Macaca mulatta: one gene and its partners. The protein of the gene in region 7 interacts with the protein of the main gene of each other region in a pairwise test. Links are inferred from orthologs where the notes say so. Each region holds a gene or a part of one and is shown on either strand. Other genes may lie near its edges.

Region 1 (4,120 bases), on a different chromosome or scaffold from region 7:
CTCTCCGGTCCCAGCTTATAGCCTGGTAGGAAATGGTGGAGAATGAGAGAGGGAGATTAGAGGACAAACCGGCCTCCTGCAGAGCTGACATTCAGACACGGAGTGGGAGTTGCGGGGGAGACAGGGTGCCCAGGGACAGCTCCCCAGACTCACACACACTTTCTATTACTGCTTGGGAGCAGTGGTTACCCGTTGGAGGGGGCAGATAGGGAGAGCTGCTGCCCATGAGAACTCCCCTCCTCAAGTCCATTCTGGCCCTGGGCACTATTATTATCACAACTTTCCAGATGAGGAAACGGAGCACAGAGCTGTTCAGTAACTTGCCCAAGGTCACATGGTTAAGTCCCGTAACCTCAGTTTCCTTATCTGCAAAGCAGTCTTAATAATGGGAACTACCTCATAGAATTGTGGTTTACAACGATGCCTGTCACATAATACTTGCTATCATTACCATTCCCTGCCCCCACTAAGACTCCTTCCACCCAGAATATTGCGGCAGAATATTAATAGCTAACATTCGGCGAGCGCTTCCTGTGTACCACCGTAGTGAATATTAACTTGGAAAATCCTCACAACATTTAGCATCGTCACCACGCCCATTTTGGCCGCCGCCAGCCAAAATCCAGTGGCAACCTCGCTCTCGACCCAGCCACAACCAGCCCGCCCGCTCTACGTCATCAGGGCGTGTCGCGCGGGAAGTCGCGGGGAAAAGAGAAGACGCCCCTTCCTAATTCCCTCGCTTCCTTGCTTCCTTTCGCGACACCGCCGGCCCGAAGGGCTCTTAAGTGACTGGACAGGGACGGAGGGGCGGCGGCTATGGCATCCAGGACGACAGCGACGGTAGCCGAGGCACGGGAAAACTTGCGCCTCAGCCCCGTTGGGAACTGCCGGCGCCTGCGTTTTACGCAAGCGCAACACAGCTGGCGTAGCACGCCGACGCACCGCCCCGACGCCCGTGAGCTCGCGAGAGGTGTGGCTCAGCACAGCTGGCGTAGCACGCTGGCGCGCTCCCCCGCCGCGCTCCCCCGCCGCCTGTGAGCTCGCGAGAGGTGTGGCTCGCGCGAGGGGCGCGGCCTTGAGGCACGCTCCCCTCTGGAGGCGGGATCTGGGCGGGCAGTCGAGAGACCAGGCCCAATGGAAAAGAAAGGCCAGGGCGCTCGCGTCCCCACGGGTCGCCAGAAACTTGGCGGAGCGAGCCAAGGGCGGAGTTTGAGAAAGGGGCTGCGTCCAGTGAGTGGAGCGGCGAGTACAGCGCGTCGACGGCGGAGGCGGGAAGGGGGCGGAGGCCGACCGAAGGCGGCTAGGGACTGGCTGAAGGGGGTTAGCGAAACGTTAGCGGTCGGGTCTGGGCAGGGGGTGGAGCTGGTTGAAGGAACGGGGCAGTCCCCTGAGGAGCGGGGCTGGTTGAAACGCTAGGGGCGGGATCTGGCGGAGTGGAAGGTACCGGTCCGGCCCGATGAGGGGTGGAGTTAAGTGAATCGTTAAGGGTGGAGCCGGGGCCGGGGCCGGGGCCGGGGCCGGCTGAGTGAGAGGGTGGGTGATTATCCCGGGAGGTAGGCCGAAAGGGCAGATTCGTGAAGGAATGGGGTCTGGGCCGGGCTTAGAGGGTCTGGGAATGGGGTTTGGGAGAGTGGAAGGGGCGGTGATTGGTTGGAAAGGGCAGGCCCTAAAACGGACTGAGTGAGCCAGGGGGCTCATTGCTCAGTGAAAGGGCAAGACTAGGGAAAGAGAATCCTGTAAAAGGGGTGGAGTCTAGCGGACCGGGCGGGGCCAGGTAGAATGGCCACCTGAGTGGAGGGAGAAGGCCTGAGAGAGGCGGAGTTTGGAAGGCTGTGGAGAATCAGATCGTGTAAGGAATGGAATCTAATAGAGGGGGCGGAGCCTGGAAAAGGGCAGAGAGGTGGGGTCCTCAGGGCACACTAGCCCCCTCACATACCCACGCTCCCACCTCTCCAGAACCGCGGCAGGGGTCAAGCCTCCTCAACTATGACCTCAACCGGCCAGGATTCTACCACAACCAGGCAGCGAAGAAGTAGGCAGAACCCCCAATCTCCCCCTCAGGACTCCAGTGTCACTTCGGTGAGGCCCTAGACCCGCCCTCATGAGGGGGAGAGGGAGCAAGTTGGTCATTCCCTGGACTCTGACCCTTCTCTCTGATTCACAGAAGCGAAACATTAAAAAGGGAGCCGTTCCCCGCTCCATCCCCAATCTAGCGGAGGTAAAGAAGAAAGGCAAAATGAAGAAGCTCGGCCAAGCAATGGAAGAAGACCTAATCGCGGGACTGCAAGGGATGGTGAGCAGGGCCTGGCTGCAGTTTAGACTCCTATGACAATCAAAACCCAAAGGTTCCCAACCCTGGACAGTTCCCTCTGACTCAGGGCCTGAAATGGATCTGTATGTCCTTTTTTTTTTTCCTCTGCAGGATCTGAACCTTGAGGCTGAAGCACTGGCTGGCACTGGCTTGGTGTTGGATGAGCAGTTAAATGAATTCCATTGCCTCTGGGATGACAGGTGAGGCTGGGTCCTCCAGGCTGTCTCCAAAACACAAAAATACACACATTTAGAGCCCATTAGCAAGAATAAATCCTTTCTTACCCCAGCCTGGATACTGGAAGCAGATGATTTGGAGAGGTAGGGCTCACACTTGAAAGGGTTCTTCTGTGTAGCTAACAAACATTTATTGCCTATTGTGTGCCAAGAGTTGGTGATACAAATGTACCAAACAATAGACAGGGTCCTTTCTCTAGGAGCGGATTGATGAGTAGGAGGGCAGATCATTAAACAGCCAAGAGCAGTATGATGTGTTTAATGAAAACAGACTAAAGACCAGGGGATTCAAGGGTGTATAAAAGGATCCTAAACTAGTATCCAGGCTTCCCAGAAGGCTTTATAGAGGAAGAGACGTTTGTACTGAAACAGAAGGATGAAACCTCCCATTTGCTTTACTTTTCAAAAAGAATCAGCAAATCTTTTTGACTATATGTTCTGACCTCTCCTCACCACCTCCACTGCCACCATCATCATCACTCACCTAGACTTGCAGAAGCCTCCTCCGTGGTCCCCTGCTTCCAGCCTCACCTCTATTGTCTGTTCATGCAGCAACCTAAAAAAATATGTATGAGATGATGTCTTTGTTAAAATACTTTAAGGAGGCCGGGCACAGTGGCTCACGCCTATAATGCCAGCACTTTGGGGGACCAAGGCAGGTGGATCACTTGAGGTCAGGAGTTCGAGACCGGTCTGACCAACGCAGTGAAACACCGTCTCTACTAAAAATACAAAAATTAGCCGGGCGTGGTGGCACGCACCTGTAATCCTAGCTCCTTGGGAGGCTGAGGCAGGAGAATCACTTGAACCTGGGAGGTGGAGGTTGCAGTGAGCCGAGATTGTGCCATTGTACCCCAGCCTGGGCAACAAGAGCAAAACTCTGTCTCAAAAAAAAAAAAAAAATGCTTTAAGGGCAAACTGTTGCCCTCAAGGTAAAGTCCAAATTCTTCATCGTGGCCTCGAAGGTTCCACATGATCTGGCTCCACATCACTTTGTGACCTCATCAGCCAATCCTCCTCACCCACACTAGTCCCCTTGTTCTTCCAACATGCCAGGCACCCTCTTACCTCTGGTCTGTACCCTGACCAACCCCTTTCCCAGAGATTCTTTTCGGCCTTCTCTTCCAGCTACCTTTCACATCCCAATGAGACTTTCTCAGAGAAGGTTTTGCCTGACCAAACCCTACCCCAGTACCTGATCTTATTTTCCTAGCCCATGACATTGTTTGCTAATTGTCATACTTGTGTGTTTACCAATTAATATCTATATCCCTTATCCCAACCTAAGAGTAACTTACTATGGGAAAAGACTTCTTTTATGGAATACCTATTTACCATCTATTGAGGAGCTAGGAATGCAGCAGTAAACAAAACAAACAAAAGCCCGTGCCTTCAGGGAAAAGGGGGAAGACAGACAATAAATAAACGAAAAGTAAATGATGCACTGTGGTAGAAAAGGGCAGTGTTATGGAGAAGCAGTAAAGGGAGGATAGTAGGAGAAAGTACAGTGGAGGAGACTTCAATTTTCAATACGCTGGTCAGGGCAGGCCTCACTGACATTCGAGCAGGGATC
Region 2 (4,225 bases), on a different chromosome or scaffold from region 7:
TAATTTTGGCTTAAGGAACCAGATGCTAGAAAATATCATTCCTATTGTTTGCATTTGAGATTACCATGATCTAATTTCGACTGAGAACCGACAGCAGTCAAAGCACGTACGGAGGGTATTTTGTTCTTGTAAATGACTTTAGAGAATTTACTCTGTAAGCAGAGAACCCTGACATGGACATTCAATTGCAGGTATTGTTCTACTAGGATTAACTGCATTAACATTTCTTCAGAAGGCTGAGCGTCATAACCTCTTGCTTCACATAGAATGTTTAATGCACAAAGTATTTCACATACTTTTAAAATTAACTTAAGAGTCATCCCCCCTCACCAAAAACCATAATGAACTCTAAACATTTCACTTAAAAATATCAGTGATTTAATATTGAAATAAACTTGCAAATCAAGGACCCCGTAGAAACAACAATGAAAGCAAACTGAAAAAGACAATCCCTGTAGATGGTTTCCTGGGACTTCCAATTGGTTGGTTTACAATTAAATGCAGAGAGCTGCAGGGATACTCAGGGGGGCCTTTATCTTCCACTTCACAACACTGCTAGTGACCTGAGCGCCTCTTCAGCTCACCAAGGGCTGATCCTTCAAGGGCAACTGACAGTGGAAAGACACTAGCTAGCCTCGGTCGGCTGCAAGTCCCTTTCTAACTCTCCCACTTCCTGCAAAAGTCACCAGCAGTCTGTTCCCTTTTAATGGACTCTCACAGTTGACCACCTCCTCTTAACCAAATGCAATATTCTCTTTGCCCTGATGCTCCGAAATTGTATTTTAAATAGCCTTATCTACGATTACCTACTCCTTTGAGCACAATCGCTTCATATGCTGACTAGACAGTGGAAATCACTCATAGAGGTGGCTGTGCTTTTCGTAAAAGTGTACTTGGGAGCAGATGTCTAAAAAGGAAAGGAAAAATTAAACACCTTATCAGCACCACGATCATGGGACCTGACCTTTGGGATGTTTTTCCCCAGGTGTGATGGATTCAGACAGATCCATCCATATTATGTTCACTCTAGTGGCCCAAGATACCTGTGCCACACAGCTGGCTGGTGGCAGGATTCACTCCATGACTGCCACCCTGGGTAGCTCCCCCTGGCCTAGAAGGGGAGGGAGCTAAGAAGCCCTAGCCATAGCTCTGTCTTGTCAGGAAATTGCTACACGACAAAGAAGAGGTAGAAGAGTCAGGGCATCCGGCAATCTAAGAGAAAAACCAAACTACTGCTGCTCTAACTAGAGGACCTAGAGCTCCTTTAGTTCCAGCTTTCTAAACTTCTGTGTGGTGACGGGGAGCTGGGAAGAAGGGTCACACACTTTTGAGAATCAGATGAAAGCTGTAATTCTCTCACCAGCAAAAAGATTCACAAACACAATTTCACCCAGTTTTGCAGGGTTCAGAGACCCCTGAAGCCCTTCTATGTATCGATTCTCCATAAGCCCCCAAGGATCCTCCGAGTTAAGAATGCCTGAATTCATTGGCGATTACCTGAACTCTGACACCTCTGGCCCTTATGTTATTTTTCTTAAATAAGGCCTCTGTCCTCATCAACAGGGTTACAGGTCTAATCTCGTGTTGACAGGGTCTATTTTAATTTTTTTTGAGACGGAGTCTCGCTCTGTCTCGACCAGGCTGGAGTGCAGTGGCCCGATCTCGGCTCACTGCAGCCTCCGCCTCCCGGGTTCAAGCGAGTCTCCTGTCTCAGCCTCCCGAGTAGCTGGAATTACAGGCGTCTGCCACCACGCCCGCAAATTTTGTACTTTTAGTAGTACGGGATTTCACCATGTTGGCCAGGCTGGTCTCGAACACCTGACTTCAGGTGATCCGCCTGCCTCGGCCTCCCAAAGTGCTGGGATCACAGGCGTGAGCCACCGCGCCTGGCCGACAGGGTCTATTTTAAATGAGTCCCTCTGCCCTTGTGCCATTTGCCTGCTCGAACTCTCCCTCCCCCACTGCAAGCTTTCAACAGTTTGTTCTCTCTCTCTCTGCTCACTCAGAAAAGTCAAAGTCTGTCCGTGCCCAGTAGATGCAGCCTACAGTAGGCAGGGGCCCAAGATTCCAGCGCGGTCCAGCCCGATGGGAAGCACAAACACACCCCCCCGAACGCGCCCAGCCTGGCTCGCCAGCAACTTGGACCGCGCAGCGCAATCGCCGCCGCTCCCCCGTTACTCCGGGACGCGTTTCTCCGGGAACCTTCGCTCCTTCGGGCCTCTCCTCCTCCCCTGTCCACTGGGCTCCCACCCCGGCAAGCGGCCGCTCCGCTGGGTGCGTGCGGGTGGACGCCCCCGGGGAGGTGACGGGCCCGGCCCGGGGAAAGATCCCCGCCGCCACCGCACGGGGCCAGCCTCCCTCCGGCGCCAGGGGGTGTGTGTGGCGGGGCGGCGACGTCCCGGGAGTCCTGCCCGCCGGTGTCAGGGCCGGGAGCGCGTGTCACTCCGGGCGAGAGTTCGGACTCCCGCCGGTTCCAAGTTCTCGGAGTGAGCCAGCCCCGGGGCGGACTTGCCGGCGCGCCGGGGACCGGGACCCAGGGGCGGGGAGGAGCGGGGCAGGGGTGCCCGGCCCGGCACCTACCAGATGAAGTCGGTGCAGTGGCTGCAGAAGGTGGGCTGCTTGAAGAAGCGCGCGATGAATTTGTGGTCCTTCACCTCGTGCACGTTCTTCTGCCTCAGCGCCCCTTTGCGGGCGAAGCGGTTGGCCACGTCCTGAGACGCCGTGGAGTCGTTGGCCGGGAAAACGTCAGCCATGGTCCCCCCCAACCACCTCTTGCCTCCGCCGGGGAGCGGCGGCCGCGGAGGGCCGGGTGGGCGGGGGCGGCGGCGGAGAGGTGCGGGCTCGGGGCGACCCCGGGCGGGGGGCGCGGGCCGGTGGCCGAGGTCGCGGCGAGGGGGCGCGGCGGGGACCGGGGAGAGTCAGGCCGGTGCGGCGCAGAGCGGGAGCGGGAGCCGGAGCCGGAGCCGGAGCCTGAGCCGCTGGCTCGCCCGCTGGCCCCAGGCTCACTGACAGCCCGGCGCCCGGCGCTCGCGCTTCCTACTCGCGGCGGCAGAGGCGGCCCGGAGCGGCGCCGCCCACCGCGCATGCCCCGAGCGCGAGGCCGCGCGGACGAGAACGGCGGGGGCGCGCGGGCCAGGAGCGCGCGGGGGGGGGCGGCGGCGGCGCCGAGCGGGCCGCGCCGAGTGCGGAGGAGGCAGAGGGCGCCTGGCGGTGCTGGGAAGACTGAACAGGGAGAGGCGGCGGCGGCGGGCGGCCCGGGGAGGGCCAGCCCGAGTGGGGATGCGGAGGAGGAGGAGGGCGGGAGTGGCGGGTGCGCGCTCCTCCGCCGCCTTTTTCTTTCCTCCCTTCCTGCTCCCGGCTCTCCACCCTCTCGCCCTCCTCCGCCTCAGTTCTCCTCCTCTTCTTCCGCTCCTGCCGTCCGGCCTCCTCCTCTCCCCGTCTTCCTCCTCCCACTCCCGCTCTCTCTCTGTCTTATCGACCGGCTCGGAGTCCTGCGCCGTCCGTGCCGGGCCGAGAGGAGCCCGCGTTCCGGAGTAGGCTCCACGCGCAGCCCCTGCCCCGGAGCCTCCCGCCCGGTGCTCACCCGCTAACCCCTGAGCACACGCAACAGGGAGTCCCTTCCCCATCTTCAGGACCCCCGATGTCTCCGGGGCACGACGCCCGTGTGTTAGCAGCCTGTACCAGCTTGAGGTTTCACCTGGCCAAAATGTCGCTTTCATCACGTGTGCCCTAAAGGACACAGGCTCTAGACCTTCCTACAGGAGGAAGACAGCGATTTTTAACTAATTAAGCATTGACCCTTTCCCCTACCTTCTCTTCTTGACCTATACCGTATTTCACCTGCGTGTCGTAGAGACTTTTAATTTGTACGTCGGGCATTTATCACCACGTGGGATGGTTAAAGGACTTGTCTTAGGTATTTATCCCGTTATTCACTGGCCATCAGAGGGACGATGTTGATTATCAGGCTTTCTTGATTTTGCAAGTCTAGGACCTTAATTTAGAAATCATTTTGCATCCCAAGCTAATTACTGCAATACTGTCAGGTGCAGAGTGCAGCCGGTACATTTGTAAATTACCAAGTAAAACTGCCTGTGAAAGAGTAGCGGACATGGCTATGCAAAGGACGCAGGTGGGGATGCACCAGCTAATCACTCGCTGAATATTTATCAGGTCTGCCTGGAGGCCGCTAAAATACTTAAGGGAAATAATCATTTCTCAGCAT
Region 3 (4,072 bases), on a different chromosome or scaffold from region 7:
TTTTTTTTTTTTTTCTGCCTGGAGTACCGTCTACCCTCTCTCCAGGCAGCCACTCTCACTTCCTCTCTGAAACACTTCTTGAATCTATTTCTGTCCCTCCAGCCTGGTTGGCGATCACCACCCCTCACCTGTCCACTAATCTAGCCTCCTTCCTGTCTTACCCTGGAGTCCAGTCTCTGCATGGCAGCCAGGGATCTTTTCTGAATGGTAACTGAACCACGGCACCCCACTCTTGAAACATCCCATGGCATCGACCACCCTCAGGATGACACCCACATTCCCCAATCTGACTTCCAAGGTTCTACCTCTGGCCTCATCTCTCACTGGTCCTACCTCCCTCTCATGGCTCCCACCAGATCAAACTTCTCCATACTTTGCTTCTGCTCCTGCTGGAGGCCAACTCTTTTCCAGGGGTCCAGATCCTTTCCACCTCCACCTTCTCCAGGGTTTTGCTGCTGCAAGTCTCCCCTCTCACATGCAGAATCAATTCTCCATCTCTACTGGACTCTACTCTCTTCCATCCTTACAAAAAATCCATCTTCCCCTGACACTGCATGTTGTTTTTTTTTTTTTTTTCTGTCTGTTGCCCGGTCTAGAATGCAGTGACGTGATCTTGGTTCACTGCAGCCTCTGCCTCCCAGGTTCAAGCGATTCTCCTGCCTCAGCCTCCCCAGTAGCTGGGACTACAGGTGTGTGCCACCACACCCGACTAATTTTTTAGTAGAGACGACGTTCACCATGTTGGCCAGGCTGCTCTTGAACTCCTGCGCACGTTCACTTCTTACCACCCTCCCCCATTTCTCCACTCTTCTTCAGAACCAATACTCCTAACACTTAACATTTGCTCTCTCCACTCCCTCCCTTCCCATTCACTCTTCAGCGCCCTCTTGGCTGCACCAGCCCCGTCATTCCCCAACAACTGCTCCTGTCAACATCACCATCAGCATCCACGGAGCCAAAGCCAATGGCCAGTGCTCGCCTTGGCAGCATCGGACTCAGGGCACCAGCTCCTTGTTCTATAAGCGCTCTCTTCTCTCCGCCTTCCCGACACCTTTCCTGGCTTCCTTTCCACCTCACTAAGCGGTCCTCCTTAGCCTCCCCCTCTTCCACTCGGGATCTGTCCTAAGTCCCCTCTCTAGACCCTCTTACTAGATTATCTCATCCATTCCCAACCATAGTTTGATCACACCCAAATTCTTCTCCAGTCCAGACTGTCCCATTTACTTACTCAGTGTGTCCTCCTGTAGGGCCAGGAGTGGTGGCTCACGCCTGTAATCCCACCACTTTGAGAGGCTGAGGTGGGCGGATCACCTGTGGTCAGGGTTTCGAGACCAGCCTGGCCAACACAGCGAAACCCCGTCTCCACTAAAAATACAAAAATTAGGTGGGCATGGTGGTGTGCATGCGCATCTATAATCCCAGCCACTCGGGAGGCTGACGCAGGAGAATCACTTGAACCAGGGAGGCGGACGTTGCAGTGAGCTGAGATTGCGCCATTGCACTCTGGCCTGGGCAACACGAGTGAAACTCCGTCTCAAAAAAAAAAAAAATTCCAAACTGCTCTTTGCAATGACTCGGGGAGACCCTGCATGATCTGCCCTCTGTCCTAATCTCATCTTGCTATTGGTCTCCCGCTAACTAGCAAAAGCCCCAGCCATGCCAGTGTCCTTTCATTCCCCACCCCAGGGCCTTTGCACAGGCTGCCTTAACTCCCTGGAACACTCCTCTCCAGTTCTTCCTCTGTGAGTTTCAGCTTAAATGCTTCCTGCTCAGTAAGGCCTTCCCCCACTACCCTATCTAAAGTAGCCTCCAACCCTTATTCTCTACTTCATCACGCTGCTGGTTTGCTTTCAAAGCACTCATCACAATTTAAGTATTTTACTTATTTACATGTTTTTTTTTTTTTTCACGTCTGGTTCACCTGCAAAATTACAAGCTAAGGACAGGACCACATCTCTCTCCTTCACTGCTATATCCCTAGAGTTAAGCACAGTCCTTGGCACATAACAGGTACTCAATAAATATTTGTTGAATTAATGAATGAATGGGTGCCCCACACTTGACTCTTTCTCAATATTCTAAGTGATACTATTCTTGGGGATTCCCACCCCTACTCCCAAGGCCCCCACCATCACATTCCTTTTCCTCGGTCAGCCCAAATCTTCTACTTCCTTGTTCCCCCCATCTAATGATCCATTCCCCACCCCCACGATTGCCGCCTCTATTGGGACTGTCCCTCCTCTACTCCCCACTTGGCGGCACCCACCCCAGGACTCCCCATTTGGTAGCGCCATCACTCACTCCCCCACCACATGTCACTGCCTGGTAGCGCCCTCTACAGGCCTCACGTTTGGTAGCGCCCTCATTCCAGTCCCCCTCTCGCCCCACAATTGGTGACGCCCTCCTCAGTCTCTCCACTGAGTAGCACCCGCTCCGCACGCCACTCCTAGGTATCACTCTCCGAAGCCCCCTATGTCGCCCCTTGGTAGCGCCATCCTGGGCCTCCCCACGCCCAGTCACTTGGTAGTGCCTGCCCCGCGCCCAGACTGCAGCTCCGCGTTGCCATGGTTCCGCGCGGGCCCGGCACCCTCGGCCTGAGCCGCTGTCCACCCTCCCTGCTAGGCGGGCGCACCTTTGAAGTAGTCATTGGCCTGAGTCTTGAGCTCCTCTGCCCGCTTCAGAGCGCCATCAGCCGGGTGCTCGTCCCGGGGGGGCTCAGCACACTCAGTCCGCTCGCCCTCCGCCATCGCCATGCCGCAAAGCGACCCCTACCCTGGCAACGGCCGCCAGCGGCACCCGGCCGAACCGTCGCGAAGGAGCGCCGGGTGGCCGCCGCCGCTGCCGCACAAGTGTCGTAAAGCGCGGGCCCTGAAGGGGCCCTTCACGCGCCTGCGCAGGTCCCTCTCGCCATAGAGCGCGCGGAGGACAAGGTGACCAGAGGGTCCCCGGACGGTACCCCTGGTAGAGAGAGCCAATAGGGAATGAGAGAAGGGGCGCGCGGGGAAACAGAGCTGGTGTGGCCTCTGCTCCCAAAGTTACCGTGTTCCAAGGCTGTAAAAAGTTTCTCGGTTCTTAAAGTGGGATTTCCCTGCTCTCCTCTAGGGTTGGGGGGTGGGTTGTGAATGTCGCTGGCGGGTGTGGCTGCTTTGCAAGGCAGCGCCATGCCCTACGCGGAGCCGGACCCGGGCGTCAAGCCCTATTGTCAGCTACCTGTGTGACCTTGAACAAATCTTCCCTTCCTCTCTAGGGCCTCAGTTACCCATCTCTGAAAAATGGGTGGCTTCTCAAGCCAAAAAAGGTCCAACCCTGAGGGTGTTTCTGAGTTTTTAAATGAAGGCACTCTGGATTTCAAGTCCTGAGCAAGGCTCAGAAGTGTGTTGCACCATCCCCTTTCTTCCTGTGTTCAGCTTCCCAAATCCTGAATCTTCAAATAAACTCTCCTGTTTGCCTTTTTACAGATTCTCTTGTCTGAGATCACAGCGTTGATTGCATGCACTCTGCCTCCCTCATTTACCCTTCACATGGCAGCTAGAGGTTTGGTTTGGTTTTATTTTGTTTTGTTTTGAGAGGGAGTCTCCCTCTGTCGACCAGGCTGGAGTGCAGTGGCGCAATCTAGGCGCACTGCAACCTCTGCCTCCCGGGGTTCAAGCGATTCTCCTGCCTCAGCCTCCCGAGTAGCTGGGATTACAGGTGCCTGCCACCACGCCCGGTTAATTTTTGTATTTTAATAGAAACGGGGTTTCACCACGTTGGCCAGGCTGGCCTCACTGCCGACTTCAAGCTATCTGCCCACCTCGGCCTCTCAAAGTGCTGGGATTACAAGAGTGAGCCACTGCACCTGGCCGAGGGATCTTTCTAAGACATAATAAAACCATGGCACACCCTCACTCCCAGCCTTCCATGGCCCCAGCACCCTTAAGAGAAAACCCAAACTCCTGATTAGGAGACCCTGAATAGTCTAACCTCAGGCTGAATAGTCTAATCTCCAGATTCCACCCCTTCCCCAACCCCCATCTGCCGTACACCCTTCCAGTCTGTCCTTTCTAAGCCCTCAGGTAGCACTAAGTCCTGT
Region 4 (4,245 bases), on a different chromosome or scaffold from region 7:
TACCCTGACAGGCAGTGACTTCAGATGTCAGCTCCACATCCACTTTTCTATGAGGCTTTCCCTCCCCCATCCCATCTGACCCATCTCTTGTTCCTTAATTCATTCAGCAAATAGCTAAGGAGTACAGTTTATGTGACAGGTCCTGTATGGGTGCTAGGGATGCTGAGGTGGATAATACACAGCTCGTGCTCTCAAGAACTCTCGCTTGAGTCAAAGACAGTCAGTTGTTGGCACTGACCTCTACACAGGGAATGCTGCAGTTGCACGGCGAAGGACACTGAAGCAGCGTGGGGAAGCTCCTGAATTTTCTGGAGCTGAGCACAGGAGCTGAGACCGGCTAAGCAAGGCAAGGCAGTGGACTAAGGCTCGTCTCCTTCCCCAGTTCCTTCTCCTCCCATTGGTGCTCCAGGACACCACATCACCATGCATTTGTGGATATTTTCCTCCGGATTGCTCTGACATCATTTTTCACTGTAAGCCATCTTGGTTCCTAGGCTGTAAGCTCTTTGAGAGCAGCAAAATCCTGTTTGCTTTGCCACCATTTCTCCTGTATCATTCTTCCCTACTCCCCTACCTCACCTCACCGCCCCCCCCGCCCCTACGTCCACCCCCCACACAGTACGCTCTGCATTGCCCATTGAATGGTGAGACATTCAGAAGGATGTTGCATTCCCTTTGTTTCCCCTTTCCCCCAGCTCCAGGCCAGGCTTCTGTCTCTTAGGAGACGTAATCCCACCTGGGCTGAAGCACCCCAGGACCCAGGCACTTCCCTTTACCTGTTCAGGCTACATTTACCCTCTATTTTCCAAACACGGGTAACCACCCAGTAATTACTACTAATCACAGCAATATAAACACTTTATTGAGTGCTTTCTATTTGCTACAACCTGTTTCCCTGATGGACTGTCAAAGCTATGGGCAGGGATTTTGTTCTCTGCTGTAATCCCAGCACCTATCACAGTGTCTAGCCCAGAGTGCACACTTAACAAATCAAAGGAACACTTAACATGTATCAGTCTATTCAATCTTCAAAACAACAGTATGAGGTCATGACTATGACCCCCGTTGTGGAGATAAAGAAACAAAGGCATGGAAGGTTAGGTTATAGAAGCTGCTCCTGTTCGTGCAGCAGGTGTGTGAGGGAGCCAGGGCTGCCCCCAAACAGAAAACAGAAGCAGGATGTCAGGGCAGCTGGCTGGTGGGGAGACCGTGGGGGGAAGGACAGCGGGAGGAAGGGAAGAGGGGGTGGGACTAAGGAGGAGGGAGAAGGAGAAGAGTGAGACCCTGACAAGGGACGTGCTGTTTGGGGACCTGAGGCTGGAAATGTGGGACCGGAGCGGAGCAGAGAGGAGGGGAAGGAGGACTAGCGAGAAAAGATTTCAAAAAAAGAGGCTCTGAGAAGTCTGAGGAGAGTCTGGGGAGATTGTTGGAAAGAAAGGAATGGTGGGAGAGGAAAAGTATAAGGCACTAAAGAGAGGGGAGGTAGGCGCAGCCTTCAGAGGCCGGGCAGGGCAGGGCCACAACAGGACAGGGAAAATCTGCCCAACTAGATGGGCCCAGGGCATCTGAACGGGATGATTCCTGGGCCAAGACGTGGAGGACGATCAAGGATACATTGAAACAAGGCTGAAGCCAGAGAAAGGGACATTTTCCAGTGACGAAAACAACTTTCTACCAACTTCCCCAAACTGAACTGTAGAATAAGAAACCAAGGGATTGTTGTTTAGCTCTGTGGAAAGCAGCGGGGAGGGGAAGCTGGAGGACAGGCCCAGCGACACTGACCAGGTGGGGGTAGGGCTAGCTCCCTGGGCAGGCTCAGTCCCACAGAGGCCACCCGCCTAGCAGCAGGCAGAAGGGTAAAGAATGTCCCCAGGTGAGAGACCGGGGCTTGGCCAGGGTACTGGGGACGCTGTCCACTGGGTTGCCTTGCCCCATCCAGTGTCCCAGCCCATTCTCAAATACCTCCCGCCACAGGCATCCCAAACCCACCACACCACCCCATCCCCACTCCTCAACTCACTCCCCCACTTCACCAGCCGCCAAACTCCTGCCCTACAGGGTGTGCTCTGCCAGGTTCCACAGGCAGCCTTGCCTCCCCACGGCCCAGCACACTGCAGGCCAGCCAGCTGACTGCAGGGACAGAATTCAGAACCGTCTGGACTCCCAGAGCACTAACCTTCCTACTCCCACTCCTTTCCTTTCCCCGCCAAATCTGCCCCACCCTGGGCCTATCACCTGCCCACATTCCCTTGGCCCTCGCAAACTTCCACGGCTGTCAGGGCTCAGGGCTTCCTTTTACTCTCTCCCTCTCAAACTTCTCCCATTCCCCTGCCTCAGCGCAGCCCCTACTCCAAGCGGTGGATGCATGGGGAACCCCACACTGGCAGTGGCTGACGTTAGGACCTGCAGGCCTGAGGCCGGCGCCAGGACCAGGCCCGGGCAGGAGAGGCTCGGCCCCCTCCCGGAGAGGGCCCACGCCGGCCGGGCGGTGCCTCGCCCACCAGCCCACTCTTCCCTTTGTCCCTGGTCTCACCAGTGGCAGCAGTAGGTCAGGCACGGTGGAGAGGCCCATGCCAGACAGCTATGGCCTCTCACTCCCCCATTTGGGCTCAGGACAGTGTGGCAGCGGCAGCGCTGGCGGCTTCCCGGGACTCGGTCTGTCCAGGACGTCCCAAGTGTCTTGGGGTGACAGTTGAGGGTTGAGACTCGGGCATAGAGACCACGGCCTGGTTCCAGTGATCTTGAACCCCAAAGGCCAGAACTGGAGCCTGAGTCCAGAGAATTCTGAGAAAATTAAAGCAGAGAGGAGGAGAGAGGAGGTGGGAGGGGAAGAGTGAGGCGGTGTTGCAACAGCGGGACAGGAAGAGCTGGAGGAGGAGGCCAGAGGAGGCGGGAGGAGGAGGCCCAAGGTTCTTTAACTCTTTGTAGTCCAGTCACAAGCGCAAGAGTCTCAGATCTGGCTGCCTTGCGCCCCCAACCCACCAATCCGACCACTCCCAACCAAACACCAAGGGGCAATAAGCCGCTTCCCCGCATCCCTAGCCTTTCCTAAATGGAACACAGCAATGAAAAGACCCAGAGTTTGGGAGTCAAATTCTCTGGGTTCCAGTTCAGAATGCTTAGCTTCTTAGCTGGGTGGTCTCGGACACATAACTGAACCTCTCTGGGTCCGTTTTCCAATTTGCAGAGTGGAGATAACCTGTCTCCTGGGGTTCCTGCAAGGATTTGTTCAGACACGAGAGACATAGATAAGCGTCTGACACATGATAGATACTCCATGTCCCTTAGTAATCCTCCCCTTTACTCCACAATTCTTCACTAGCCTCCTAGTCTCCCTCTTTCTTGGGAATTTACCGATCCAATCCAAACCTCAAAGTAAGTCCTAACCCTCATTTTCTGCCCTGACTGGGTCCCTGCCACTTCTCACCCCAGGTCTCATCCAGTCGCTGCCTGGCCAGGTCCCCCTACCCTGCCCCACTGTTGATCCTGGCTCTGCCACCAATCGTGGGACATCAGGCAACTCCTCTCCTAAGCCTCTGTTGGTTCCTCATTTATTAAATAGGGGTAACAATGCCTGCCCACCTACATGGGGAGAGTGATACCATGAGCATCAATGAGACATATCCACTAAGCTGCCGTGGAAATAAAGATATCTCCATCAAGTGTTCCTAGTATATTCCCAGTGCTCTTTCCTAAATATTCCAATACCTCAATTATAACTAACCTTAGAGATCATCTACTACAACCCCCTAGGTTTTTTTTTATTTCTCCATTTGCTTGTTTTTCATTTTTGTGTTTGTTTCGAGGGTCCGCTCTGTTTCCCAAGCTGGAGTGCAGTGGTACCATCACAGCACACTGCAGCCTCGACCTCCCAGGCTCAAGTAATTCTCCCACCTCAGCCTCCCAAGTAGCTGGGACTATAGGTGCATATCACCACGCCCGGGTAATTTTTGTACTTTTTGTAGAGACAGGGTCTTGCCATGTTACACAGGCTGGTCTTGAACTCCTGGGTCCAAGCGATCTGCCCACCTCAGCCTCCCAAAGATCTAGGATTACAGGTGTGAGCCACCATGCCCGGCCAACCCCCGGTTTTATAGAGGAGAAAACTGAGGTCCAGAAACCCAGTGTGCCAGGAGGCAGAGCCAACCGAGAACCCCAGACTCCTGACTCCCAATCCAAGGGCTGTTTTGGCTATGAGACACACGCTGCCACTTTATCTGTTACTGAGTCAGACCCCACATCCTG
Region 5 (4,028 bases), on a different chromosome or scaffold from region 7:
GTGATCTGCCCACCTTGGCCTCCCAAAGTGCCAGGATTACAGACATGAGCCACTGCACCTGGCCAACATATTTCTTTACGCTGGTTTCTTTGCCTCTGCTGAGATTAGACTAAGGCACAAAACTTCTCATATCCTAATGACTATACTTTCATTCCCACCGTTAATCAGTCAACAAAATATGTTCCTACTTGTCTAACATTTTCAAATGCAAAGTAGCTCCTATTAGTGTTATTATCTTTCTCTTCCCATTGGCTTAATCATTCTCAAAAATTCTCTAGTTACCCACAAAATGCCATCTCTCTAGGCAGACTCTTTTTATACTTTCACCACCTTCTGTCTCTATCCTACTTCCCTGTTTTCTCCCTTAAAAGTTATTCTTCCCTTCAATCAAGGCCTTTATATCCCTTCTCCCTACCAGTTTCATCAAGGTCTGCAGAAGTGGTAAGCTGAGTGGCAGTTATCTCCCCACTGCTAAGATTCGAAAGATCGAGGCAACGTTTTGGGGTTCCTCTGTTGAGACATAATGGTACATCGAAATTTCCATTAGATTGTTATATCCTTAAAAGTCAAAGATCATGTCATCCTCTTCTTTTTTTTTTTTTTTGCAATAGAGTCTTGCTCTGTCTCCCCGGCTCGAGTACAGTGGCACGATCTTGGCTCACTGCAACCTCCGCCTCCCGGGTTCAAGCGATTCTCCTGCCTCAGCCTCCCAAATAGCTGGGATCACAGGCGCCTGCCACCACGCCCAGCTATTTGTAGTAGAGATGGAGCTTCACCATGTCAGCCAGGCTGGTCTTGAACTCCTAACCTCAGGTGATCCGCCCACCTCGGCCTCCCAAAGTGCTGGGATTACAGGTGTGAGCCACAGCGCCCGGCCAATCCTCTTCATCTGAAACACCCCTTAATGACTATCAGATTATCTGAACACTGTCCAAATAAATCTAATTGCTTTTTGGAAATATCTCAGACTGGGCTGAGAAAAGTCTCCCACTACCATAATCTGTACCTCATTTTCTCCTTACCAACATATTGAAACAGATAATTTTTTTTTTTTGAGGCCCAGAGTTTATTGGCCAAGGAGGATCTTGACTCCACATTCCCTGTCCTGAGCACCATGAACACAGGCTTGATTTCTCCCCGGAGTCCCTAGTTTTTCTCAGGTACTACTTCTCTTCGTTTGCTAGTTGAGACATGGTATGATCAGAATTCAAAGTACAACTGCAATAACGTTAATATTAATACTAATAAAGTGACCGACTCATAATGCAGCAGTTTTCAAAGACTTTTGCCAGATATCACATCATTTGATTCTCACAAGATCCTAGTAAGATAGGAAGAGATTATTATTTCTTTCTTGTCTTTTCTTTTTGAGATAGAGTCTCACTCTGTTTCCCAAGCTGAAGTGCAGTGAGGCGATCTTGGCTAACTGCAGCCTCCAGCTCCTGGGCTCAAGCAATCCTCCCACCTCAGCCTCCTGAGTAGCTGGGACTATAGGCATCACCACGCTCAGCTAATTTTTAATATTTCTTGTAGAGACGGGGTCTTGCCATGTTGCCCAGGCTGGTCTTAAACTCCTGGACTCAGGCGATCCGCCCTCCTTAGCCTCCCAAAGTGTGGAGAATACAGGTATGAGCCAACTCGCCTGGCTGATATTATAATTTCTTGTCACAGAAAAGAACTCAAAAGGGTTACACAGTCAAGGGCAGAGCTGAGACTTAAACCCTGACCTTTGAGCCAGGATAACTGAAAACAAACCAACAAACAAACCCAACTGTTTGGAAATAGCAAAGGCAACAAAGTGTAAAAATAAAAGTATATTTACCCAGACAAAATGCTTAGGTTTGTAGAATCACCAAGAAATTTGCCCACTGGAGTGCTAGGGACATCTGGACAGACAGTAAAGGAAGTGTCTCTCTCCAGGAGCAGGTTTAACATTTTCCTTTGATTAGACCTAAAACTTGGTCCTGAGCCAGAGCTTCCTTCCTCTCTTGTGGATGAGAAGAGTTCCGTAGACATGGTCTTCGAATTCTCACCAGGAGAAAAACAAAACCTAGCTAGGAGGAAAACGTCATCTCTATCGGTACCTCTCAGTTCCCTCAGCTTTCCCAAACTCCTCCACCCTTTCCAGCCAGGCGGATCAGCATTGGAAGAGGGGCATTCCCGAAGGGTGATTCACAGCCTGGCTCCAGGTTAGAACCTGAATTCACCGACGAGAGGCAACCTTAGGACCTTAAAGATGGAATGAAGAGAGGATTTTGACTTGTTCCACGCCACACAGCTCGAGACTCCTGACCAGAAAGAACCCAGGTCGTAACTCGCGACAGTGCCCATTCGGCCCTCCCAATCTCTGTTTGTGTGGGCCGACTGGACCCTAAGAGGACAATGGGGTCTCCGTGATTCCGTGGCGGAGACGGCTGCGGACTTACCTCAAGCCTGGAGTCTGAGGCTTGCCTACAAGAGGAGGGAAAGTGGATAGGGATCGGACACAGGCGAAGACTCGAGCAGAATGAAAGAAAATCTGGGGGAAAGGAGGCAGTTAACCAGACTGCAACTCTGCCTCCCGACTGGGTAGGCCAACGTCGGACTCAGCGTCTTCCCCGCGTAGGAGGCCAAAGTTATGGCCTGCGAGCCAGAGTATCAACAGCCGCAAGCGTTGACCATTCAAACCTTCCGCTCGCCCAGTAACCTATCCCCGCTCGCCTCTAAGCTGCGTCAGCCAATCTCCGTGCGCGCGCCCAGACCCTCACGGCCTATCGTTGGGCTGGCACATTACCCGGCGTGTGCTTGCTCTGGAAGTGGTAAGACTTGCCCCGCCCCATAGCCAGAGCAGGATAGTGATTGGCCCACCAGCGTTAGGCCGGCTGCGGGGTAAGCTCCGCCTCACGGGGAGCCTGCCGCATCATTGGCTCTCCCTCTCACCAATCGCCACACCCTTTCTGTTTTCTTCTTTCCCTCGGCCCCACGAACCCCGGGAGATTTAAATCGCACCTTACTAGTGATGACCATTCGCTAGGATAATACTAGGAGAGATTCTTTTGGGTGGAGGGTGTTGTAAGCGTTTCATTTTCCTTGCTTCTTTCTCGTGCCGTTTTCGCGGACGTTTTCTTCTGAGTTTTGCTGGCCTTCCACGGGACATGGAGCGTTTGCTGCTGGTGTGGCAGGTATTGGGGGGAGACAGGTGTGTGTGTTTATGCTGAGAGGCATTAGCCCCTTCCAAGAGCTTTCTTTGTTTGGCGTTTCTTTTAGTGTGCGGCATCTCAGAGACGCTAGTTTACGTGGGTAAAAAGAAATTCCATTGCAGGGAAAGTGGAGGAATTAAATTATCTTGGTATAATCCTTATCACAATCCAGAGGACCTCAAAGATTGGTTATTCATGGAAATTTGAACATTGACGAGGTGATATTTAGAAATTACTGGCCGGGCGCGGTGGCTCACGCCCGTAATCCCAGCACTTTGGGAGGCCGAGGTGGGCGGATTACATGAGGTCAGGGATTCAAAACCAGCCTGGCCAACATGATGAAACCCCCGTCTCTACTAAAAATACAAAAATTAGCTGGGTGTGGTGGCACACACCTGTAATCCCAGCTACTTGGGAGGCTGAGGCATGATTAATTGCTGGAACCCGGGAGACGGTGGTTGCGCCACTGCACTCCAGCCTGGGCATTAGAGTGAAACAAAAAGACATTCCTAATGTTAGGGATTTGCTTTTAAATAATCCTGTGCTGGGGGAGGGTATTGATGATACAAGATTGACCCTGAGTGTTGAGTGATAGGGGGCAGGAAGGTCCATCATATCTGTGCATGTCAACGTTTAATTTGCACACTAACCACCTGAGGACCTGTTAAATGCAGATTCTGATTTGGGAGGTCTGGGTTGTGGTTGCGGCCGGAGATTCTGCCCGTCTAACAAGCCCCCAGCTGATGGTGAGGTAGCTGGTCATAGGAACATACTTTGAGCTGTAAGGTATTACCCCATACTCCTTACTTCAGTGTATATTTGAAAATTTCCATAATAAAAATGTTCAAA
Region 6 (3,500 bases), on a different chromosome or scaffold from region 7:
CTCCGCACCCACCAAGTCTCTGCCACTGGTCTCACCTAGGTGACCTGGCAGCGGGGAGTGGGGTCTCGGCAGCGTGGGCGAAGTGCTGGTCAGGATGAGGCTTTTCCGGTTACTGGTGCGGCAGCTGCGGGGAAGGCAAGGCAGGGGGGCCGGGCCGGGCCGCAGCCCAGTGAGTTCTTGTGCCCCACCAGCTGACCTCCCGTCTCAGATCCCCGCCTATCTCCCATCTATGTGTGTTTGGAGGCTCCCTGGGAGGGTTTCTCGAAGGAAAAGGTGGTGGAGGCTTCGGCAGGACTGTGTATGGCAGGGGATTTGCATGTGACATGTGTGTGAGAAACTCCCAGTGTTGATTATGTGTACGGCAGTGTCTGTCATGGTGTGATAGTCACTGTGTCTAGGTGACACTATTGGTGATAGTGTGTTTCGGTCTATGCGGGACATTCACTGTAGGTATCCACATGTGGCATCCACTGTATGAATTCCACAATGTGTGACCCCGAACGCATTCTAGTGTGATATGTGTGACACAACGTGTGTTTATCTTGTGTGACACAATTTGAGCATTTGTGTGTCTATGTGACACAGTGTGAAATGCCACTTGTCCATAACAATGTGTGCTGTAACACAGGGAGGCTGCATTTTTTTTTTTTTTCTTTTAAGTCAATGTCTCGCTCTGTCGCCCAGGATGGAGTTCAGTGTGCAGTGGCTCACTGCAGCCTCAAACTCCTGGGCTCAAGCTATCCTCCCCCTTCACCCTCCTGAGTAGCTGGGACTACAGGCGCCTGCCGCCATGCCTGGCCAGGATGCATGATCCCCCCTACATGTATCTATGTCTTTGTGTGGCATTCTGAGTCTATGTCCGATACTGTCCTTCCGTCTGGGTGTGACATTCACCATATGTGTCCATGTGTATGTAGCATCTATTGTGTGAATTTAACATCTTGTGACACTGGCCATGCCCAAACATATCACCACGTATGACATTCTCTAGGTGAGTATCGCATGTGATAACGTGTGATTTTGCGTGGTTCTCTCTCTGTAAGATCCCTACATCTGTTTATGCTGATGTTAGTGTGACACAGTATGTGAGATTCCTAGATATGACATCATGTGTTGTGACATTGTTGGATGCATGGATGGGATATTGCCACACATGTGTGCATCTTGGATGACATAATTGTGTGTGTGGATCACCATGCAAGTGACATCTTACTAGGTGTACACGACGTGGTGCCCCTGTGTGTCTGTGCATGGTTCTAACCTGTGGCAGCTGCAAGGCTAGGTATGTGTGGCACCTCCCAGTGTATCTGGGCCACTAGGGCTGTTGTGTGTGTATGTGTGTGTGACATCATGTCCTGTGTGACGCTGTGTGTCACTATTTTCAGTGTAAGACTGTGTTCTGGGGGGGTTGTGTTATGATAAACCCCCCCTTTTTTCTACCCCTCAGCATCCCAGCTCCCGAAGAGGGAGCCCCAAGCCCCTCCGTCCGTCCCCTCACCCACAGCCGCAGTGACTGAGCATATTAGCGCGTCCAGGAGCACGCGGCATGGGGGTGGGGGGAGGCCAGGCTGCGGCTATTGTTCTGAGGGTGCCAAGCCCCCCAGCCTCCCCTTCTTCCTCTACCCCCACCAGGCTGTTGGAGCCCGCAGCTCCAGCAGACAAAGGCGCCACAAACCCCCAGTGGCGCAGCCCCCTCCCCCCGCGGCCGTCCTCTCCAGCGTGCAATCCCCCCAGACTCGGCCCACACCACCCCCATTCAACCCCATCCCTGGCGGGAAGGCGCAGCTCGGGCACCTCTGGCGCAGCTGTACCGGGCGCAGCATCCCGGGCCCCGCCCTGCAGCAGCACCCGGAGCGGAGGCTTTTGCGGGGAGGGCTGGGACAGTGTCTAGGGGATCGGGGGTCTACCTCTTGGTGCGGCGGAACATACTGCCGCCGGGGAAGGAGGGCATCGAGAAATTGGAAAGCGCGGTCCAGAGAGAGTCAGACATGACCCGGCGGCGGCGACATGGTGGCAGGTGCGGCAGCGGCGGCGGCGGCGGCGCGGGGAGCAAGCGCGCGGGGCGGAGGCTGGAGCCGCCGCAGCGGGCAGGGGAGGGCAGGGAAGGGGAGGGCCCTGCGGCTGCAGCTGGCCGGGAGGGGGCGCTGCTGTGTGCGGGCGAGCCAGGCCCCGCCCGCGCACGCGCCTGGCGCCCCCACCCCGGCGGGAGAAGGGGCGGCCAGCCCCCGCCACGTCTCTCCCCAAGGCTCACCTGCTGCTTTTCCGGGGCAGGGGCAAATCCTTCTGGAAGGCAAAGAAGCAAAACGATGAAGGTCAGCGTGGACCTACCGTTGCTGCCCACAAGCATGCTCAGCTCCCTGGAGGAGCAGAAGCAGGGTAAGACAGGCCCCTCTTCAGCATTGTCACTTTCACCCTTGGCCATGCACTGCGGGCCAAGTTTCTTGGGGGAGAGGATCCCCGGGTGATTCCTCTCCTGACCCTCAGAGACCAACAGAGACCCAAGTACACAGGCGGGGTCCCGTATAAAGGCAAGTGAGTTGGCATCTCAGTGTGTGTTTGTGCAAATGAAATAGGAATCTTTATTTGAAAAATATGTCTTGAGCACTACTGTATGCTGACCCTATCCTAGGCACTAGGGACACAGCAGTGAATAAGTTACAAGCCCGGTGTGGTGGTGTGCACCTCTGGTCCCAGCTACTTGGGAGGTTGAGGCAGGAGAATCGCTTGAGTCCAGGGCAACACCAGCCTGGGCAACACAGCAAGACTCTCTGTCTCAAGGAGAAAAAAAAGTTTCTGGCCTTTTGGGACTAGTATTTGTAGGGTAAAGGGGACACTAAACAAGATTAGTGTAGAAGTGAACAAAATCATTTTAGACAGTAATTTGTCTTATGAATAAATTAAACAGGGTGATATGATGGACAATGGCTGGGATGGAGACACATTGTCAGAGAGGGCTGCTCTGTGGAGGTGGCTTTTAAGCTGGTGGCTGAAAGATAAGAGCCAGCCATGGGAGGATCTGTGGAGAGAGAATTCCAGGTGGAGGGAACTGCAAGGGCAAAGGCCTGGAGGCGGGAATAAGCTTGGCATGCTCAATGAATGAATGAAAGGTTGAATGAATGAAAGGTTGAAAGAATGAATGACTCATCTACACCTCAACAGATCGATCTGACTCCCAGCTAGAGTCACAGAGTTGGGGTAGGGGGTGGGGGGTAGGTAAGTAGAGTGACTCACAACTGAGATTTAAAATGGGAACCAGGGAGGCTAAGGTGGGAGAATCACTTGAGCTCAGGAGGTCGAGATTATAGTGAACTGTGATTACACCACTGCTGGAGTGAAACACGGTCTCAATTAAAACAAAAATAAAAACAAAAACAAAAACATAAAAAATTTAAAAAATAAAAAAATAAAAATGGAAATTCAGGTGATGGCCACGTAGTCATTTTTTATAATGACAATAATAATAATTATTAGTGGGTATTAAGTTTATGTGTCTGCATTTG
Region 7 (4,014 bases):
TTCCCCCATAGGAGGAGAGTGTACACCTCTTATGCTTAATGTGGGGATTAGGACGCATGAAACGGTGTCTGGCAGTCATTACGTCTAAGAGCAGCAAGTCCAGAAGTTAGCATGTCCCAGAACCAAACAAAACCCTTACTAAACAAAGTGCATCTTGAATAAAATCGACTGAATTTGATAGACACAGGTCTCAAACAAATTTCTGTTAAAAGAGCTCATCTCCTACTTTAATAATTTGCCCCTGAAAATTCAGTCTTTTATGTTACTGTAACAGAATAGCGCCTGTTCACCTACTCTCTCTGTCTTCAGGAGTTTCTGTTTTGAGTGAATACGGGATAAACAGGCAAATTAAGTGGTATTTATATTTTTCTCAGGAACAAATCTCCAATCACTAACAGTGGTGTTCAAGCAAGTAACATCAAAGAATGAGAACCCCACTGGAGGGAGAAAAGTGATGCTTTGGAGGTGCTCTGAGGGTTTAATTTAAAATAAAGAGAAGAGTCTCTTCAGCAGAGACAGGGCTGACACCTGACTAACAGGACCCGCAGTCAGCCCCCAAGCAGGCAGGAGGGGCCCTGCAAGCTCAGCAGAGAAGAAACCTTTCCACCAGTTCCTTCAATGAAAAGAGGAATCTTTTATTATTGGAACCACACCCCACCTTTTCCCTCTTTCCTATATTTGGCAACATTGTTAAAATTCCAGATGTCCTCAAAGAGCTCTTTGCATTGGCAAGTAATCTCTCCGGAGACTTTAACAATCCTTCTTCCGTCCGGTGATCCCCAAACCTGGCTCCCCAACAGATCACATGAAAAGCATTAAAAAAAAAATCCCATGTCCAGGTCTTGCCCCATGCCAATTAAATCAGAATGTCTGGGGGCGGGATTCAGACACTGGTTTTTGTTTTGATTTTTTTTTTTTTTAATCCCAGGTAATTCTAACGTGCAGCAAGGTCTGGGAACCACTGTTCTATGTCTTGCCCCTCCCCCAACGACCGCGCTGGGCACCAAACCCCAACTCCCCATGCCAGTGACATCAACAGCAAGTACGGGCCTGGCTCTTGGAACCCGCGCAGCTCAAGGTTGGAATTGTGCAATTAAACCTTCCGAGGCATGTTTCCCGTGTCAAGTGGGTTTATGGTCAGTAGTCACGAAGCCAGACTCGCTCATGTTCTGTCTGGACACTTGGCACACTTGAACCAGGGACATCAATCCGGTGTGTGTGTGTGTGTGTGTGTGTGTGTGTGTGTGTGTGTGTAAGACAGGTTTAATATTTTGGTTGGCTCAATGTCAAATTCTTCAGACAGCAAAAAGAAACATCCAAGAAAGAAACTCTCCGGGTTTTGAGGAGAAAACTTTGCTGTGAGCCCCATTTTGAAACACCGTGGTGCTGGCCAGGATGAGCTCTGCTTCCTGGGCTTCCGCACTAGAGGCCGCGATCCCCCCAGCAGTGGCCGGACAGCCGCGTCCCCCTCCACCGCGAAGCCCAGGCGCGACCGAAGGGCTGCAGGTGGGGCAGACCCGGACGTCCCCGCGAGGCGGCCACCGAACGAGAGCCCGGGCCTTTCTGCGCCGGCGCCCGGGAGGGAGCTCGGGTCCCCAGGAGGTGGGGGGCATACCTGGACCGGCAAGACGAGGGCGCGCCGGGTGAGGCGAGCGGCCGGGGTCTGCGCCCAAGGGGCGGGTCGGACCCCACCTGCCTTTTGCCAACGAGGAAGTTAACCGCCGCCAGCACCACCCCTTCCCAGGCGCCGCAGGTGGTGGCGGACTTCTCCCAGCTCCCAGGTTGAGGCTGCGACTCCACACCTGGGAACGAGGATCGCGGGGACCTGGAGAGGGGCCGGGGTCAGGCTGGCCGGCTCCGGCTTCAGTTTGAGACCTGCGCGGAGCGCGGAGGCAGGGAGGTTCGCTCAGGAAGCCGCCTGTCCCGCGGGGTCCGAAGGGAGGCTTTATTTTCGGGGTCCTTCCTCAGCTTCCCTAAACAGCGCAGCCTCGGCGGGTGGGCAGCGCCAGTCCCTCGGGTGCGCGCCGCGACCCCGCCGCGCCCTGGGAAGACAGCGCGGGGCGCACGTGCGGGACCCCGGCCCCAGGCACCCACCCGCACGGGGCTTTCGCCCACTGACGCCGATTCCGCGCAGCGGGGCGGGGAAAGTGAGGGTGGAAAGTTGGGAGCGGTTCGGGGCGCCGGAGGTCCAGGCGGCCGTTTCCCCGCCGGCCCGCAGCCCAGTGCCCCACGCGTCTCCTCCCCCGCCCGCCCCAGACTCTCCTGGCCCAAGAACGAAACGTCCCGTTCCTCCCGCGGTCCCGGCCGGCGGCGCAGCTGATCTCAAGGAAACAGGAAAGGACGGGCGGGGGCGCGGGCGCCGAGCCGGTGCGCCGGTGCGCGGCTGGGCTGGCTGCGGGGTCCGGGGCGCGATCCGGGGGCAGCGCGGGAGCCGGCGAGACACGCCCTTACCTTTCTTTTCCTCCAGAGCCCGACTCGCGGGGCAGAGCGCAGCCAGCAGCGCCAGGAGCGCGGCCCCGGCCGTCCCGGAGGGTCGCATAGCTGCTCCCCGAAGAGCAAGCTCCGGCTCTCCGGATCAATAGTGGACGGAGTCAGGCGGCCGTGCGCGGTGGTTGTGGCGTTAGCGGCGAGGCGGGGACTCGGGCGGACGCCGACGAGGTGGCCTGTCGTCCGGTCTGGGCGGCGGCGGCCGCCGGGGCTAGCTCGGGACTCCGGCCGCTTTGGCCGCGGCGGGCGCGCACACCGTGCCGGGGGCGGAGGCTGCTGCGGCCGCGCTGCGCCGGGGGCTGCCCGGACGTCTAGCTCGCGCGGGCCGGGGCGCGGGGAGGCAGGGCGGGAGGAGGAGGGACCAGGCGGCGGAGGAGGGATCGGGAGGAGCAGAGGAGGAGGAGAATGAGAGGAGGAGGGAGGAGAACCAGCCGCGGGGACCCAAGGCCAGCGGCCGCCGGAGGCGGTGGACAGCGGTGACCCCCGCGGGACCCGGTCTCCCGCGGGAAGGGGGTGGCGCGCGGGAGGGGAGCGGGTGCCCTGAGGAGTTAATTTCCGTGAGGGGCGTTCACAGCACTGCCCCTCTGGACTGGGTCCCCGCAGACTTGCAGGCCCAGCCTATGTCGAGGTCGAGCCAAATCTGTGCCAGGGTCCCCTTCCCCCTTTCCCTTCTTTTGTTTTACAGAACAAACTTCTACCAGCTTTAGACAGACTGGCCGAGCCCTAGAGCCAGCGTCGAATAATGGCACCGACGGGGAAACTGCTCCTTTATTCTGGTCCCCACCTCCCCTGCAGCACCCAGGGACCCTCGCGGGGATCAGAGGCTGGCCTGGCAGCTGAGGAGGTCGCTGTGCCCGCGCGGCAGGGGTGCCAGGCGTCCGAGGTGGTGCTCTAAAGTCCGAGGGTCCTTCAGATCCCGTGAAGCACCCTAGAAATCGTCTGAAATGAGAGCACCCAACTTTGGGCGCAGAGACAGGCCTCCTCAATGTTTACTGCAACCGGCCGTGGGTACTTTGAAGCCAATGTGTGAAGCACGTTACTTCGCAAAAGTGAGGCTCTTGGAATAAAGGCTTGACACAAACAGCTGTGGAGATGCTTTTAGAGAGGCTAAGTGTCCCACTGCACCGGTAGCTCCCGCAGGAGAAATGCCAGGGAAGTTCGCGAAAGTTTGGCCGAAAGAAACTGAGCTGCTTTAGGCTGCAGGAACTTGAGCTACATTCCTTTGGCAAGTCCACCCCATCCCCACTGTTGCTTCTCCTGCAGTAAGAATGTCCTCTAGGTCCATGTTACAGTCAGACCCCTCCTCTCTTCACGAGATTCACTAGGACCTTCAGGCCTGGTTCAACAACCCTGATCTCCCGGCTCTGTCAAAAATCATAATCCTGAAGTAAGTAGAGCTACAGATCTGCCCTTTGCTGTCTCTGAAGGGGAGCAACCTTGCATCTTTCCTCCGCATCCAGCGAAGTGTTTGTGCCTGGGTTTCACGCCCTGCAGCCTGAACGGTGGGTTTTTCACCACGGCAAGCGC

Evidence for each region.
Region 1: the proteins of EGFR (region 7) and HDAC6 interact in binary tests that used the Homo sapiens proteins (3 or more experiments, as listed by UniProt). The link is inferred for Macaca mulatta from reciprocal best matches to the Homo sapiens genes EGFR and HDAC6.
Region 2: the proteins of EGFR (region 7) and PRKCA interact in binary tests that used the Homo sapiens proteins (3 or more experiments, as listed by UniProt). The link is inferred for Macaca mulatta from reciprocal best matches to the Homo sapiens genes EGFR and PRKCA.
Region 3: the proteins of EGFR (region 7) and PPP5C interact in a protein complementation assay, tested with the Homo sapiens proteins (2 studies listed by BioGRID and IntAct). The link is inferred for Macaca mulatta from reciprocal best matches to the Homo sapiens genes EGFR and PPP5C.
Region 4: the proteins of EGFR (region 7) and TNFRSF1A interact in a protein complementation assay, tested with the Homo sapiens proteins (3 studies listed by BioGRID and IntAct, with this or other methods). The link is inferred for Macaca mulatta from reciprocal best matches to the Homo sapiens genes EGFR and TNFRSF1A.
Region 5: the proteins of EGFR (region 7) and CDC25C interact in a protein complementation assay, tested with the Homo sapiens proteins (3 studies listed by BioGRID and IntAct, with this or other methods). The link is inferred for Macaca mulatta from reciprocal best matches to the Homo sapiens genes EGFR and CDC25C.
Region 6: the proteins of EGFR (region 7) and MAST1 interact in binary tests that used the Homo sapiens proteins (3 or more experiments, as listed by UniProt). The link is inferred for Macaca mulatta from reciprocal best matches to the Homo sapiens genes EGFR and MAST1.

The regions. Positions count from the first base shown.
Region 1 is NC_133426.1:48,878,877-48,882,996, forward strand, and holds the start of HDAC6 (protein deacetylase HDAC6), read left to right. Parts: upstream 1-1,320; 5' UTR 1,321-1,440; exon of another isoform or gene 1,441-1,456; coding exon of another isoform or gene 1,457-1,468; exon of another isoform or gene 1,469-1,849; intron 1,850-1,956; coding exon of another isoform or gene 1,957-1,986; coding exon 1,987-2,079; intron 2,080-2,164; coding exon 2,165-2,293; intron 2,294-2,422; coding exon 2,423-2,511; intron 2,512-4,120.
Region 2 is NC_133421.1:76,041,815-76,046,039, reverse strand, and holds the start of PRKCA (protein kinase C alpha type), read right to left. Parts: upstream 2,801-4,225; 5' UTR 2,754-2,800; coding exon 2,581-2,753; intron 1-2,580. UniProt on the Homo sapiens protein: Calcium-activated, phospholipid- and diacylglycerol (DAG)-dependent serine/threonine-protein kinase that is involved in positive and negative regulation of cell proliferation, apoptosis, differentiation, migration and adhesion, tumorigenesis, cardiac hypertrophy, angiogenesis, platelet function and inflammation, by directly phosphorylating targets such as RAF1, BCL2, CSPG4, TNNT2/CTNT, or activating signaling cascade involving MAPK1/3 (ERK1/2) and RAP1GAP.
Region 3 is NC_133424.1:58,844,825-58,848,896, reverse strand, and holds the start of PPP5C (serine/threonine-protein phosphatase 5), read right to left. Parts: upstream 2,801-4,072; 5' UTR 2,754-2,800; coding exon 2,633-2,753; intron 1-2,632. UniProt on the Homo sapiens protein: Serine/threonine-protein phosphatase that dephosphorylates a myriad of proteins involved in different signaling pathways including the kinases CSNK1E, ASK1/MAP3K5, PRKDC and RAF1, the nuclear receptors NR3C1, PPARG, ESR1 and ESR2, SMAD proteins and TAU/MAPT.
Region 4 is NC_133416.1:7,274,592-7,278,836, forward strand, and holds the start of TNFRSF1A (tumor necrosis factor receptor superfamily member 1A), read right to left. Parts: upstream 2,801-4,245; 5' UTR 2,573-2,800; coding exon 2,534-2,572; intron 1-2,533.
Region 5 is NC_133411.1:147,195,034-147,199,061, forward strand, and holds the start of CDC25C (M-phase inducer phosphatase 3), read right to left. Parts: upstream 2,801-4,028; 5' UTR 2,427-2,800; intron 2,055-2,426; exon of another isoform or gene 2,051-2,054; 5' UTR 2,017-2,050; coding exon 1,823-2,016; intron 511-1,822; coding exon 416-510; intron 1-415. UniProt on the Homo sapiens protein: Functions as a dosage-dependent inducer in mitotic control. Tyrosine protein phosphatase required for progression of the cell cycle. When phosphorylated, highly effective in activating G2 cells into prophase.
Region 6 is NC_133424.1:13,395,912-13,399,411, reverse strand, and holds part of MAST1 (microtubule-associated serine/threonine-protein kinase 1), read right to left. Parts: intron 2,284-3,500; coding exon of another isoform or gene 2,252-2,283; 5' UTR 1,991-2,251; coding exon 1,908-1,990; intron 125-1,907; coding exon 36-124; intron 1-35. UniProt on the Homo sapiens protein: Microtubule-associated protein essential for correct brain development. Appears to link the dystrophin/utrophin network with microtubule filaments via the syntrophins. Phosphorylation of DMD or UTRN may modulate their affinities for associated proteins.
Region 7 is NC_133408.1:73,468,115-73,472,128, forward strand, and holds the start of EGFR (epidermal growth factor receptor), read right to left. Parts: upstream 2,801-4,014; 5' UTR 2,540-2,800; coding exon 2,452-2,539; intron 2,313-2,451; exon of another isoform or gene 2,257-2,312; intron 1,901-2,256; exon of another isoform or gene 1,761-1,900; intron 1-1,760. UniProt on the Homo sapiens protein: Receptor tyrosine kinase binding ligands of the EGF family and activating several signaling cascades to convert extracellular cues into appropriate cellular responses.